2 linked regions of the Oreochromis niloticus genome follow. The protein of the gene in region 1 interacts with the protein of each later gene in a pairwise test. Links are inferred from orthologs where the notes say so. Each region holds a gene or a part of one and is shown on either strand. Other genes may lie near its edges.

The links. The genes of interacting proteins can lie anywhere in the genome.
Region 2: the proteins of lemd3 (region 1) and smad1 interact in binary tests that used the Homo sapiens proteins (3 or more experiments, as listed by UniProt). The link is inferred for Oreochromis niloticus from reciprocal best matches to the Homo sapiens genes LEMD3 and SMAD1.

What each region holds. Positions count from the first base shown.
Region 1 is NC_031981.2:544,562-551,709, reverse strand, and holds the start of lemd3 (inner nuclear membrane protein Man1), read right to left. Parts: upstream 3,045-7,148; 5' UTR 2,971-3,044; coding exon 1,641-2,970; intron 1,115-1,640; coding exon 1,080-1,114; intron 1-1,079.
Region 2 is NC_031971.2:16,425,024-16,432,015, forward strand, and holds the start of smad1 (mothers against decapentaplegic homolog 1), read right to left. Parts: upstream 3,003-6,992; 5' UTR 2,833-3,002; intron 1-2,832. UniProt on the Homo sapiens protein: Transcriptional modulator that plays a role in various cellular processes, including embryonic development, cell differentiation, and tissue homeostasis.

The sequences.
Region 1 (7,148 bases):
GCTTTCAGGGCCCCCTCCACTGAACCAGCTCCCAGTTTGGACAGACGTCCTCGCTACCTTTAAGATTAGGCTTCAAACTTCAAACTTCCCCTTTTGGTAAAGCATCTGGTCAGGGATGGATCCGGTGACCCTGAACCCTCCCTTAGTTACTGTGCAATAGGCCTAGGTTACTGTGGGCTTCCCATGATGCACTGAGTGTTTCTTGGTGGCTCACTGTGCTTACACACCTCTCTGTATGTAATCATTTATCTATCATCGCTTGCTCTTTTCCACAGCCTGTCTTTCTCCCATCACCCTCACCTGGTCGTGGCAGGTGGCTGCCCCTCCCCAGGTTCTGCCAGAGGTTTCTTCCTGTTAAAAGGGTGTTTTTACTTTCCACTGTGTGCTTGGTCACAGGGTGTTGTTGGGGTTGTCTCTGTATACGGTAGAGTTTCTACCTTACAATACGGAGGACTGCTCTTGTGATTGGTGCGAGACGAATAAAACTGAATTATTGCTGAATCATAAACACTTTCCTGAACTGAGACAAGTGAGACCAGCAGTTCTTGAGAGCCTTTTTTGTGACCTTCTGGATGACTATCTGATAACTCTCGGTTTCTCTCGGTAGGCCGTCCACTCCTGGGAAGTTTCATCACTGGTTCAAGTTTTCTTCAGTTGTGGATAATGGCTTTCACCTCAGTTTGCTCCCAAAGCCTGGCTTTGTAACCCTTTTCAGACTGATGGATGTCAGAGACTTTGTTCTTATGTTTCTTTAAATTGTAGTTAATTAATGATTAAACAAGGAGGCAATTACTTTTCAACATACGGCCCATTAGACCTGTATACCCGTTTTCAGATCAAATCCTCATTTATCATATTGTATTTACTTGGATTATCTTATATCTAATGTCACAATTTAGTTGATGATCTGAAGCGTGTGACAAATATACCAAAAAAAATAAATAAATCAGCTTTAGAATGAAGCATTGTAAGTTACTGACATGGTACACACTGTTAATGTAATCACATTTTCTGTGCTGTACATTTGAAAACCTCTTAACTTAAAGAGTAGGGAGAACCTGAAGAAAGTATTTACTTACATTAGGCGTGTCAAACTCCGGGGGAGGGCTATTAACTGAAAATGAAGACGAGACAGACAGTCAGGACAATTCTCAAAGAAGTTTCCAAAGTACATGGATTGAGAAAAACATCGATAAATTACTTTTTCTGTTAAATATAAAACTGTTAGTGTGTGCATTCTTAGCTTTTGCACATTCTGCCTCATTTTAAGTGTAACATGATTCTTTTGATAGTCACATAATCCTTTTATCTGTAGGGGCACAAAAAAACAACTCCTCAGAAATAGGTGGAAGTGAATTTGGAGCACCGTCTCCTTCCGACTGCTGCTTGTTCTGTGCTTGGGCAGACTGACTGTACGGATTCCTTCCAGTCTAAAAATGCTCATCTTTGGATCTGTTTGTATTTGGGAATCTCTCCAACTTTGGTGTTTGTTCATCAGGAACATCCACTCAAAATACACAAAGAATAAACACTTCTATACATTACCAGGCAATAAAACAATTACATGCATTACAGTCCCTAAACTGCCACAACTTTAACACTCCACGGAAACCAAATAGGCAGTTCGCCCAGATACTTACTGACGTTATCCACCTCCAAGGCTCCTGAACCCCTCATCCTGAGGTACATGAGCCCCAGCAGCACAAAGAAGAGGCACGCCGCTGTGAGCAGGAACATGGACAGGTAGTGAGCGCTAAAACTACCTGAGGAAGCTAGCTCTTCCCTTTTGAACTGCTGGAGAAGCTCATCTTCGGGAGCAGACACGTTTCTCTTGAGCGCTGCGTGGCCGCAGGAATGGTTGGGAGCAGGGGTGTGATTAGAGTGGTTGCGCCTGTACGTCTGCGACAGACCGCTGTAGGTGGAGAAGCGCGGTCTCAGCTCGGTGCTGTTGCTTCTGGATGCTCCATCCTCCCCCGTGGCCGGACTGTTTTTACCGGTATATCCTTTGTGGTTTTCGGTAAGTGACCCGTAGATGGGTTTCCTTGGAAGTGTGTGACTCCGCGAGTCTCCCAAGCGGCTAAAGTCCCTTCTCTTTAAATCATCTTCCTCTTCATCCTCACCTTGACTCCCCCCCATGTTTAGAAAACGACGAGGCGTAGCTTCTGTGTTCTGCCCATCGGTCGCAGACCCTCGATCAGTAACGTCGGAAGATAACGCCACACTGGGGTGGTTTCGTCGAGGCTCCAATCTGTCGCATTCTGGGTCGCCGACGCCAAGCCCACTAACTTCCTCCTCGTCCGAGTCTGAGTAATCTCCAGCTAATTTGCTAGCATTCAGGCGAGACGCCCCGCGACCATTTAAAGAGCGGGACTTCTTTTCCATATCCTCCTCATAATTGTCCTCGTCCCCCGAGTCGTCGTAACGCCGTAGTCCCGCATCAGACCTGGATCTGTCACCGACTCCCCAGCCCAGTGAGACACGTCTCTCTCCGTTCTGACCCAGGGAAAAATTGCTGCTTGGTGTCGCACTGTGGTCGTACCGACTCTTGATAGCCACACTCGGCGTTGAGGCAGGCCTAATCTTAGGCTGCTGTTGAGAACTGGAGCTTCTGTTCGCTCTGCCACTGTGACCGAGGCCTTTCCTCTTTAGTGGGGTTTCAGCGTCAGACTCGTCGGAGCTGAAGCCGAGGAGGGAGGACTTCCGGCCCGGTCTCCTGCTTGTATTCAGGTGCGTGACGTCATGGCTGACTGGCCTAGATGCCACTGTGCTACCGCCGCCAGTGGTACTGTTAATGGCACCGATAGTACGGGTTTTACCAGGTCTTAGTCCTCGCTGCTGTTGCTCTTCGCGAAGCTTCTTGAGTTTCTTCAAGTACACCGGACGAGTGTTTTCAGTAACGGGCCCTGGAGTGAAACCAAAACGTTTTAATTCCAAAAAAAGCTCCTCATCCGTTAACTGCGTTGACGCCATCTTGAAAAGACCTCGAAGACGGTTCTGTGACGGAAATGACGTAGAGGTGAAGTGGCAACCAACTGGGTTGTGTTCAAAATCACCAACAAGCTGCGAAAATATGTCGCAGACACCCCCCTTTATTACGTCGCGTATGTTTTCAAATAATATTTTGTTTCACTTTTTCTGTGCGCATATTAAATATCTAATTACTTTTTTTTCAAACAAATAGCTTTATTGAACACGTATACAAACAAACAAAAGTAACCATCTAACAACTGAAGGCACGCACGGTAACAACGAAAAACATCCAAGTATGAAAAATATAAATAAATACAAATCACACAAAAAGGAAAAAGAGTCAGAGAAAACAATCACATTAAATCAAAATTGTTAAGTAATGAAAGTAATTTCACGTCACAGACTCACGTCATTCTTCCAGTAATTCAAGTCAGGCTTAGCTTTGAAAAATCTGCATCAGTGAATAAAATATTTTCCAATTAAATTTACTGTTTTTCTCGTTTGTTTGTTTTCTGTTTTTTTTTTTTTTAAACAATTGTTGTTGTTGTTGTCTTTTATCTAAAAATTCCACTTTACTACTCAGTGAATGGAGTAAATGGTCCAAAAAAGGACCAAGAACATCTTCAGAGACTGGATGAAGTCCTGCGGCAATTAGAGGAGGCGGCCCTGAGTTTAAATGTCAGTTCACAGAAAAGGAAGTGACATTTTTAGCACACCGGGTGGATAAGACAAGTTTACATCCAGTGCTGGAGGCGGTACCCCCAAAATCAGTGACAGAGCTCAAAGCTTATTTGGAGTTGTTGAACTTCTGTTCTTGCCAAACTTGTCCACGCTGGTGGGCCCACTGCACAAGCTTCTGAGAAAGGAGGAACAGTGGTGTTGGGCACCAAAGTTTTCTGCAAGTCAAAAACTGGAACTGGTGCAGTCAAGTAGTGTATTGGCACACTATGATGAGAAGAAAGATTTAATTCTATCTTGCGATGCGTCCACCTACAGAGTGTGAGCAGTGCTAGCTCACCGCATGCCAGATGGTCATGCGGGTGTGACTGATGTAGCTGTGCCCTGTTGGCACAGTCACACCCGGGAATGAGACGCATGAAGGGCCTGGCCAGAAGCTACATGTGGTGGCTGCATATGGAGACTGACATTGAAGACAAGGTGAAGTACTGCAGTACGTGTCAAGAACATAGACTCAGGCCTCAAGAGGAACCGCTACACCCCTGGGAGTGGCCGGAGAAGCCATTGAGAATACAGATAGATAGATAGATAGATAGATAGATAGATAGATAGATAGATAGATAGATAGATAGATATAATTTTATTTCGAACATGCAAATATAATTGAAATAACAACAGAAAAAAACAAAACTTAAAAATCATCAAGTTTTCATGTATATACCTATGTCTACAGAATGTGTGTGCTTGAAAAGGAGTAGGATGAAGTTTACACTTTTCTTGTTCCTACCCCCTTATTTCAAATTTCATTGCTTACAAATCCATATCCAGGACTCAACATTATTTGATCAGATATGTTTAACTATGTACAAATCTAACACATTGAACATACAGAAATAAAACCGTTTTCAGCATGTAAACCAGAACAACGACAAACTACATTTTTACATAAACTAATCTCCCTGTCTATAACACCCCTTAATCGCTGAGCTTATTTTATATCTATGTGACAAACACCTTAATGAACACTTAAGCTTGGGTTACTCAGGCCTTGATCTATAAAAAATGAGGACACAATGAGACGACTCAGTCACTGAGAGGAAGATTTCCTATATTCATGCAATTTATTATTTTTGAACAATCGTGTGAGTTTTTGTATTGATGTACTTGTCTTGATCTCACCTGTACAGGTGTTCCACACACTAACTCCTCTGACTGTAATGCTGTGATATTTTACATTTGTCCTTACTACTGGCTTGCTGAACATAAGGATTCCTCTCAGGTCAGGAGTATTTGGTCTTATTTGGAACAAGTTCTGAATGTTGTGGGGCAAAGATTTATTTGCTGCTTTGTAAATTGTTTACGCAGTTCTGAGGTCAACCAAATCTTTAAATTTGAGAATATTTAATTTGATAAAAAGTGGATTTGATGGTTCTCTTGAAGTAGTTTTATTTATTATCGATTATGCTGGCCCATTTTTGGGTAAAATGTTCCTAGTAATAGTGGACGCCCACTCCAAATGGTTATATGTGTGTCCAGTGGCATCAGCTGCCACTATAGACTGCTTGAGAAACCGTTTCAGCGCTCACGGTGGTCTCGGACAATGCCCAGTGTTTTGTAAGTGCACAAACTAAAGAGTTCATGGCAAAGAACAGCATCACACATGTCAGCTCTGCTCCATATCACCCAGCATCTAATGGGTTAGCAGAAAGAGCGGTGCAAACTTTCAAAGAACTCATGAAAAAGAGTACCGGAGACACACTGGCAACCAAGTTAAACAGGGCTTTGTTTAGTTACCGAATCACAACAGCGTCCCCCGCTGAGTTGATGATGGGCCGGAAGTTGAGTTGTACTCTTGATCTCATACACCCCGACTTGAAATAGAAAGTGACATCAAAACAAGATAGCCAAAGACTGCATCATGATAGACATGCCAAGGAGGGCACATTGGTTATTGGAGACACAGTGTATACCAGAAACTATGCCGCAGGACCCAAATGGATACCAGGACTTATACAGGAAATGAAGGGGCCTGTTTCCTGCACGGTGATGCCGGGCAATGGGAAGGTGGTGGCTGTTTGCCCGCCTGGAGCCTTACCTACCAGCAGGAATACCCGAGGGCCACCAGGGCGAGCCCCCAAAAGCTGCACCAATCATCCATGCTGAGACGATGGACACTGATGAAAGAAACATGGAGGTGCAAGTTACACCAGTGGTGACGCCGCATACAGAGAATAGTGGCTCACAGGAGTCGCCAGCCACAGGGTTGCGAGTTTTTTACATTTTAATTAAGGTTACGTTTTTTATGGGTATTTTATGTAGTACTTAAAACTACAGAGTAGTTTCAGTTTAACGGGGGAGGAATGTTATGATGTAACAGGGGGTGGGCGGGGTTTGGTCCACCAGGGGGCAACAGTCTGTGGAGAGCGGTGTCAGCGTTGGTTGGGTATGCTCCATTTCAGTAAAGACATGACTGTGAGGTCGACATAGTCTCTGTGGTTCCTTATTGCACGGCATATCACATTTAGTCTTCTAAGTAGTCTTGTGCAAAAGTCTTGAACCACCATTTCTCTGTTTTTGTTGGGGAAATGAGTGCAATGATTTATCTTCTTCTTTGGATATTTCTGCTTTTTTATTTTTGTCACGAAGATCTGCTGAGTCGCGCCCTCAGGGAGGCCAATCCATGATGGTGTTCCAGTGTGTGTTGTATACAGTGCTTTGATATAAGAATCAGTCCATGTACCATTTACCACTGCGTGTTTTTCTATCTAACTATGCTTTTACTGCATTGACAGTGTGTTTGGGATCATTGTCATGCTGAAAAATGAGGCTGTTGCCAATTAGATGATTTAAAGATCAAAATTTAATGGTACTGTTTAAATTGATCAGTCCATCAGACCTATTGCCACTGATTTTTGCAGTCTGGTTATTGTGTAATGTTGCATACCTTTAACAGCCACCCTTTAACCCAGACCATTTCTGATGAGGCTTCAGTGATGGATCAGCTGAAGGGTCATCGCTCAGGTCCTGTTTCAGGTCTTTGCAGGAGTCTATCCTATTTCTTAAGGACATGACTGTCAGATACTGTTCATCTGCTGTAGATAGTTTACAGCCCCAAATTTCTATTCCAGCCTTTGAAATGTTCTTGTTTATATGACCTCCATAAAACAAATGGATTTTGTAGTTCATGTTCTGCACATAAGAGTTTCAAAACAGTGAACATCTGGGTTTATGTTAAGGAGAGCAGTGTGACATTGTTCTGATTCTCAGTGCACGGCTGTTTTCCTTGACCTCAAATACGTTTGCATTTAGGTCAAGGAAAAGGTTAGGAATAAGAGATAGAACATACTTTTGGAACACGCTGGAAAAGTCATACCCCACGGCATTCCCATACCTTGTAACTCGGGAGTGGCACCAAAAAACACAAAACAGTAGCAGCACAGATGAGAAGTTTACAGTGTTAGTACTGTTTACATGCAGTGCTACCATCTTGGATTGCTAAC
Region 2 (6,992 bases), on another chromosome or scaffold:
GTCTCTTCAGCTAGTACTTCAACATCAAGAGCCTTCAAGGGGCATTACTGTGTGAATCATGACACTACAAGGATGCACTACAGGCTACTTTACGAATACCATTTCTAACAACGAGGCTAGGATATAATTTTTTTTTTTTTTTTAAATGAGTCAACAAATTGCTTTTAAAACAGGAGACCAGCTGTCATTTTTAACATCCTTTTGAGAAATTAACATTAGTACTAAGAAAAATTAGTACTAATGTACTTAGTACTTAGAAGTACTTGTCATTTAAATCATGCCATTTAAAAAAACGAAAAGAAAAGAAAAAGCCAAAAGATCTCTGGTTCCAGTTTCTTAGCCAGATGTCCTACATTTATCAGTTTCATATTATTGCAAGCTAAATATCTTTGGACTGTGGGCCAACCAAAAAAAGCTGCCAATTTTAGCCATTTTATGCAAAAAATAAATAAATAAATAAATACAGAGAAGGACATTTTACATGAAAAATATATATATAATTAACCTGTCAAGTTTTCCTTGTTGTACAGTCTTACAAAAGCAGCATGTCTTTGCATAATTGCATTCTGCACCTTCTTGATATTTGCTGGCTAACATAAAGTAACATATCTGCTGTAATATAATATTAGTTCACTTTTCCAGGCTCCCTAATAACTACTTCAGTTGGTTGCAAACAGCATTAGCTAGTGATGCACAATTAATCAAATTTTAATTACAATTTTGGCTTCTAACTATATTTAAAACAAGACAGTTATTGTGCTGCACTCACAATTTGGCTTTCAGCCCCACCTACAATACTTTTGTCATTCCATAAAACTCCAGATTTTCTCCCTGAAAGACTGATTCAAAGAGTCAAGGATATTCACCATTCAAATAGCATGATTTTAAGTTCAATGAAGCCACTATGGCAATCGTGAGAAATGACTTTTGTCATAAATGAGCAGCCCTAGAATTAACGCCGAACAGCTAGACCTAGACACTACAGTCTAAGAGCAAAACCTGAAGTAATCACAGTCATGGCATTGACCTGACGGGCTCCTACAAGTCACATCCACTGCTCAGCATCCTTCCAATGCTGATATGGAAAACACTAGAAACCTGCACAAGAAGTGTCAGGATGGTTCAGACTCTGATGAAGTTGAACTGGGATCAGATTCTTTGCGTCCCAGACATGTCAATCTACCACAGCAGACATAACTATCAAACACATGGGTTTTCATGGTGCTATGTCAAACATGCTCGTAACTCAGCGTTGGGTTTGTGTTGTGTTAGGGTGGACACTTCACTCCAACACATAGCAGACATGTTATCCAACCATACAGTGACACAGGGACACAAGACTTAAATCTGTCATGTTTCTTCTTCTATTTATCCTACAACAACAGTGCTTGTCTAAAACTGTCAACTAAAGAGTTTATTTTGGTTTAAGTCTCTCTCATAAAGGAAAACCTGCAACGTATGGAGACCTTGCAGTTTACTAGTTATCAGCAGCTGTTACAGTGGATGGAAAATATCATGCTTTGTGTTCACCGACGCAGATATCAAGCTCATAAAAGCCTCTGATAATGACAGTCACAGTCAAGAGGCTTCATGCTCATTTTTAAGCTGGAAAAAAAGCTGTCGTAAATACAACTTAAAGCACAACATACTGAGAATGCAATCACAGACAAGGACAAATTCCTGTCCTTTGAGTAATCTGATATGTCATCTTCAATAATGTCAAGAGAGCTAGCTCTAGTTGTTGTAGGTCTCTGCCTCCCTCTGCAATCTTCCCTCACATGCACTCTCACACAGGCAGAAATTCGTAAACACATGGGGACACATGTCCTCTGAAGTGCATCAGCTGAACAGCCACGTTAAGTCTTTATACATCAATAAACACTACAACAATATACTTTCTTAAAGCTTAAAATGGCAAGGTGTAATACGTGTTTACTGATTACAGAGTGATATATGGTTTAGTGGCATCCAAATATGATACATTTCGAAATGTGTAACGCTTCAAATCAAGAGATTTAGCTAATTAATTAGGTGATCATGAGAAACTTAATGAGCAGTCTTGATAATTGTTTATCAAGCATTTTCAGTCATTTATCACGGGGAAAGAAAACTTGCTAAATCCTCAATTTCTTGTTTCTCAAAAGGAGAAGCTTGGCTGTTTTTCTGTTCAATGTCACCGTAAACTAATTTCTACACAGAACAAGATGAAACCCTCGGGCGACTGGTGGCCATTTCTTCCACTTTTTTTAATGTTACAGACTAAACAGCTAGTTGATGAAGCAAGATAACAACATATGACACAGAAAGACCACCCATTTATCCGCATAATGCATGCACCCCCCCCCAAAAAAAGCAAAGCAAAAAAAAAAAAGAAGAAAAGCGGTAGTTTATAAATAGCACAATAATCATCATTCCCAGCTGAAAATGGATTACATGGTTAAATACGGAAAAGCTCGTCCCGGTGAACCCTTTACGGTGATTTAAGGGTAATTAAAGGGAGTTTAGCTTTAAGACGAAAAGCTTCGCTTCTACAACATTTTTGGGAAACCTTTGCTGCTAAATTCCCTAAGTTACCCACTTTTTTCCCGCTTTTGTAAAAAAAAATTGGTACAAGACACAACTTTGCGGCTAAATTTCCACTGCTGTCTGATAACTTGTGCGCAAAAAGAGGAAAAAAAGTTTGAAGCTGCCAACTGACAGTGATGTGCGGATAACTGCTGGGATCTACTTCCTTAAAAAAACAGAGTCGAGCACACTGTGGCTACCGAAATAAAAACAGTTAAAGGCAGTTTTCATTTATAATTCTGTGAAAAAAGAAAAACTTTACCGCACCTTTTCTTCCTCTGTAGCTTTCTGTTTCTCGGCGTCGCTGGCTCCTCCTGTGTGCTCTCGCCGCCTGACTGTGGGTCTGCTCGGCCTGGCGTCAGTGAGTCGCGGAGCCGTCTCACACTCTCCCGAGCGCCAGTATCACACCGCCGCGAGATGCGGCCCCACCGGCAAGAGGCAGACCTACTTTTTGCACATCTAACATCTTCATCGAGAGCGTGGAAGTGGATTATGTAATAGCGAAACGGTACGGTTTTAGTGCAAAGGTGTGGGGTTTCTTTAGTGCAAAACGTGTCTGTTAAGATAGGTGAAATGTCGGGGTTTTTGGGGAGACAGGGGAAAAGAGGCTCTAAATAATAAGTCTAAGTAATAAGTCTTTAATCTTTACCACTCTGTTGTCTCCCCCAATACAACAGACATCAATCGGGAGTAAATGAGGAAATATTTTGAAAAAGCTCGCTTTTATCTAAAGCAGTAATATTTCCGAGAGGCTGTTTTTAAGTGACACATCTCTGTGGTTTATCTGTGAACTCCTGAACTTAAAGCCTACCTCTCGGTTTCCCGTCTCGCTTTGACTGTGACATGATAAGCACAGTTCAGCCAGAAGAACAAAAGTGTCCCACGAGCACAGTCAGCACAGGAACATGCTCATACATGCCACCATCCCCACCTCCTCAGACACTGATGCACGCTTTTTTGGGTCCCAGTGAGTACTGCACGATGACACGTGAAAACACAGCCTTCCTGCAGGACAGCAGCTGCAGAGGACATGAAAGTTTCTTGCACACCAATGAGCCCAATCTGTCCATACTTGTGCATGTGCCGCAGACTCTGAATTGACCATGAGGCCCAAGGGGAAGTAACCCATTATCTGATCAGATGTGAATAAGTCACAAAAGCGACAAAAGCGCGATAACTTATCTGAATGATAAGTAAACTTTAAACAGTCTTTTTTAAACAGTCAGAGCTTGTAGATGTTATTAGAGATCCTCGAAAAAATGAGATATAAGTTCAAAAACGCCACAAAGTGTCCAAAGGGTGACCACAGGCTTATCAGTGTAATAATTTGCTCAAACACACAATGATGACTTAAATATACTTTAACACTGGCAAAAAAAACACGGGCTTCGATCGTTATTGTTTTTTGTTGTTTTTTTCATTATATTTAAAAAAGTGTAGTAACATCTCTTTCTGTATTTGCCAGTTCATTAATCAAGTTCAGGGTCGCTGCGGTGAGGAGGGAGGGGGACTAGATTCTCTTGAAGACAGGCGGAGGGAAACGTTCAGAGCGGAGGAGGCTTCTGGCGCAGGTGACGTCACGGCGCTGGCGACAGAATGTCTGAGCGAGGCGGGAGCGAGCCGCACGTGAATAAATCTGGGAAAACAGTGCGAGCGGGGAGGGTGGGTGGAGGTGGGGGGTGTAAGGGAGGGAGGAAGGGATGGCGATGATGATCATGATGATGATAATGAGAAGGGATAGGAGGAAGGGTCCCCAAAACTTTTTTTTGCTAGAGGATTCCCCTCACACACACGCACACACAGGGCAGCAGCACATTCATTAGACCCCATACATTTATAGTCCTATTAGGGAGAAAAGCCTACTGAGCTTTTACAGACTCATCGAGTTTTATCTCATTAGAACAGCAAAGTTTAACCTCTAATATTCCAATTAAGGTAATTTAACTTTTATATTCGCACATCACACTTTCAGATTTTGACACTGCTGCTTCCTAGTGCTCTGCTCTCTGGTGTAAAGCAGGCCCTGAACCTAAGTACCTTGCTTCATAATATTTCTGAGAGTGGAAACAAAAAGTGGAAACAATTCCACTTTGTTACACATGACAGCTCAGCTCATAAAATATTAGTCATTGTTGCAAGCTTCCCAGACAGCTTAATGTGGTCAAATGGATCTCCACCTCGACAAGTGACCTTAACAAAAAGAAACAAATGAACAATGTAAAGAACACATTGGAATATTGTTTTTTAAATGCAGTTTACGGGTTTTATGCTCTATTATAGACAACTCCAGTACTCCAGAGCTACAAAACTGCCAGCTAGGACAGGGTTAAGCAACATCTGCCTATATTTTGCTTTATATTTTTTTACCATTGCAGAAGTTAGAATATTTTAAAGCCTTTTCAACACTGATAGGAGTATAATCTTCTTTGTCACTGGCCTGTGATCTAAAAACACCCACATGCCCCCCCCCCCCCCCCCCCCCCAATGCTTTCCAGCCCCCATGCCCCAGAATCATATTGGGGAACCACTGGATGCAACGGTGAAAAAAAAAGATGTTACAGATGCTCAAAAGATTTGCTGGCAAATTTGATTATTTGACAGACGAGTATCGGCCATCTTCTTTTTTATACAGCAAAATGCAAATACTTGCATTTCTGGAGCAGTGGCTAACATGAAGCAAATTACATTTCAGGTCATACAAATTCACTCATGCAGTCGCTGGAAATGAGATTATGTGAGCAATAAAAATAAAAATCAATTACCGTTGCTTATTTACCTTGCTTATGTGCTTATTATTGTATCAGTGGCAAGGAAACTACCCAAATGTTTATACAGAGGGTTCCTCATCATTGTAATGATGACAGTAGATACTGTAATGGCTGCAACTCACTTTGCTTTTTCTTTTTATGTGAGACGTACAGTGCTCATGCATATTCTGATCAGAGCGGTTTCCTGTCCTTACACTGGCTCTGTAGTGGCAAGGACTCAGCGTGGATTAAATTAGACGATATCTATTGTGGAGCCATCACACAGCAGGACACCAACCGCGGATGGAGACGAGGAAAGAGCGACAGAGAGGTCAGCTCTTTCCCAGTTCTCTTGATTGTCATGCATGTGAATTCAGCCTTAGGTCTGCTGTATTTGCATGGATAAACACACCATGAATCTAAATCCACCACCAGATATGGAGGAGATATATATGTTCATGAAAACCACGTGAATGCTCTTGCTTCAGTTTAGCTGTGTTTAAAATGCATCTGAAAACATCAAACAGACTTTGATCTCTGTTCACGGCAGTTTGGAGACATGAAGTGGCCACTTCACGGATAACAAACCAACCTTTTGTTGTGGTATAATGGACCTGCCAGTCTCCACTGGTAGTGTTCAAGAGGCACAAAGGTGATAAGAGTTTGTAAATCAGGTTGTCTTTTGTTCTAACTGACTCTGAGAAGGAGAATTTTACCTACTGTGAGCTCTTTTGAGGTCAGACACCTTAGATGGAGAAAATAAATATGGATGAATAAGAATAGGATGCTGGCAGATAAATGCAAAGAGCAACTTTCATTGAAGTACTTCTTTGTCATTTATCTCCAAGTCTGTTATGCTGATATACAGCATATGGTTTACTTATTAACCTAAATAAACTTGTTGGCATTATGAGAAAGGGTCTGCCGCCTAGTGAAATGACTGTGCTGCATGTGATTGTTTAGATAAGGAGATTTAGCTCGTTAAAATCTACAGTACTGTACAAAAATGTCGAGCAACCGCTTATTTCTTTATATTTTACCGTGAAAATGGAAAACATAGATGAAAATACAGTATAACAATGTATATAAGGGGGAAAAAAACCCTTTAACTTGACTTAAAAATGTCAAGTTTGGTTTGGCCAGCTTTATTTTTAAATGTACCCGGAACTCTTTTAGACAAGCTCTGTTCTGTTGTTCTGTTCACTGTCAGGATGATCCCACAATGCTTCAATAATGTTCAGGTCCAGGCTCCGGGGAGGCCAATCCATGATTGAGAGCGTGACATTATGTGTTTTTCTATCGAGATATGCTTTTGCTTAACTGACAGTGGGGTTGGAATCACTTTCATGCTGAAAAGTGACACTATTATCAGCCAGCTAGTTTTAAGATGGCGCTGAATGTCTAACAGTACTTTTATATGTTCATATTTGCATAATGTTGATAAGATCCCCAACACCACTGGCTGACATGCAGACCCAAACCACAACATAGCCTCCATTGTGGTTTATAGATGCCTTTAGAAACTCATGGTTGTACTTGCTCCTGACCTCCTCTGTTCATGCATGCAAAACTTCACATTTGGATTCCTCACTCCATGAGACCTGTTGCCACTGATTTTCAGTCATATTCTTGTGTAACTTGGCATACCTCAGCCTTTTCTTCTTGTTTCCCTTGCATAAG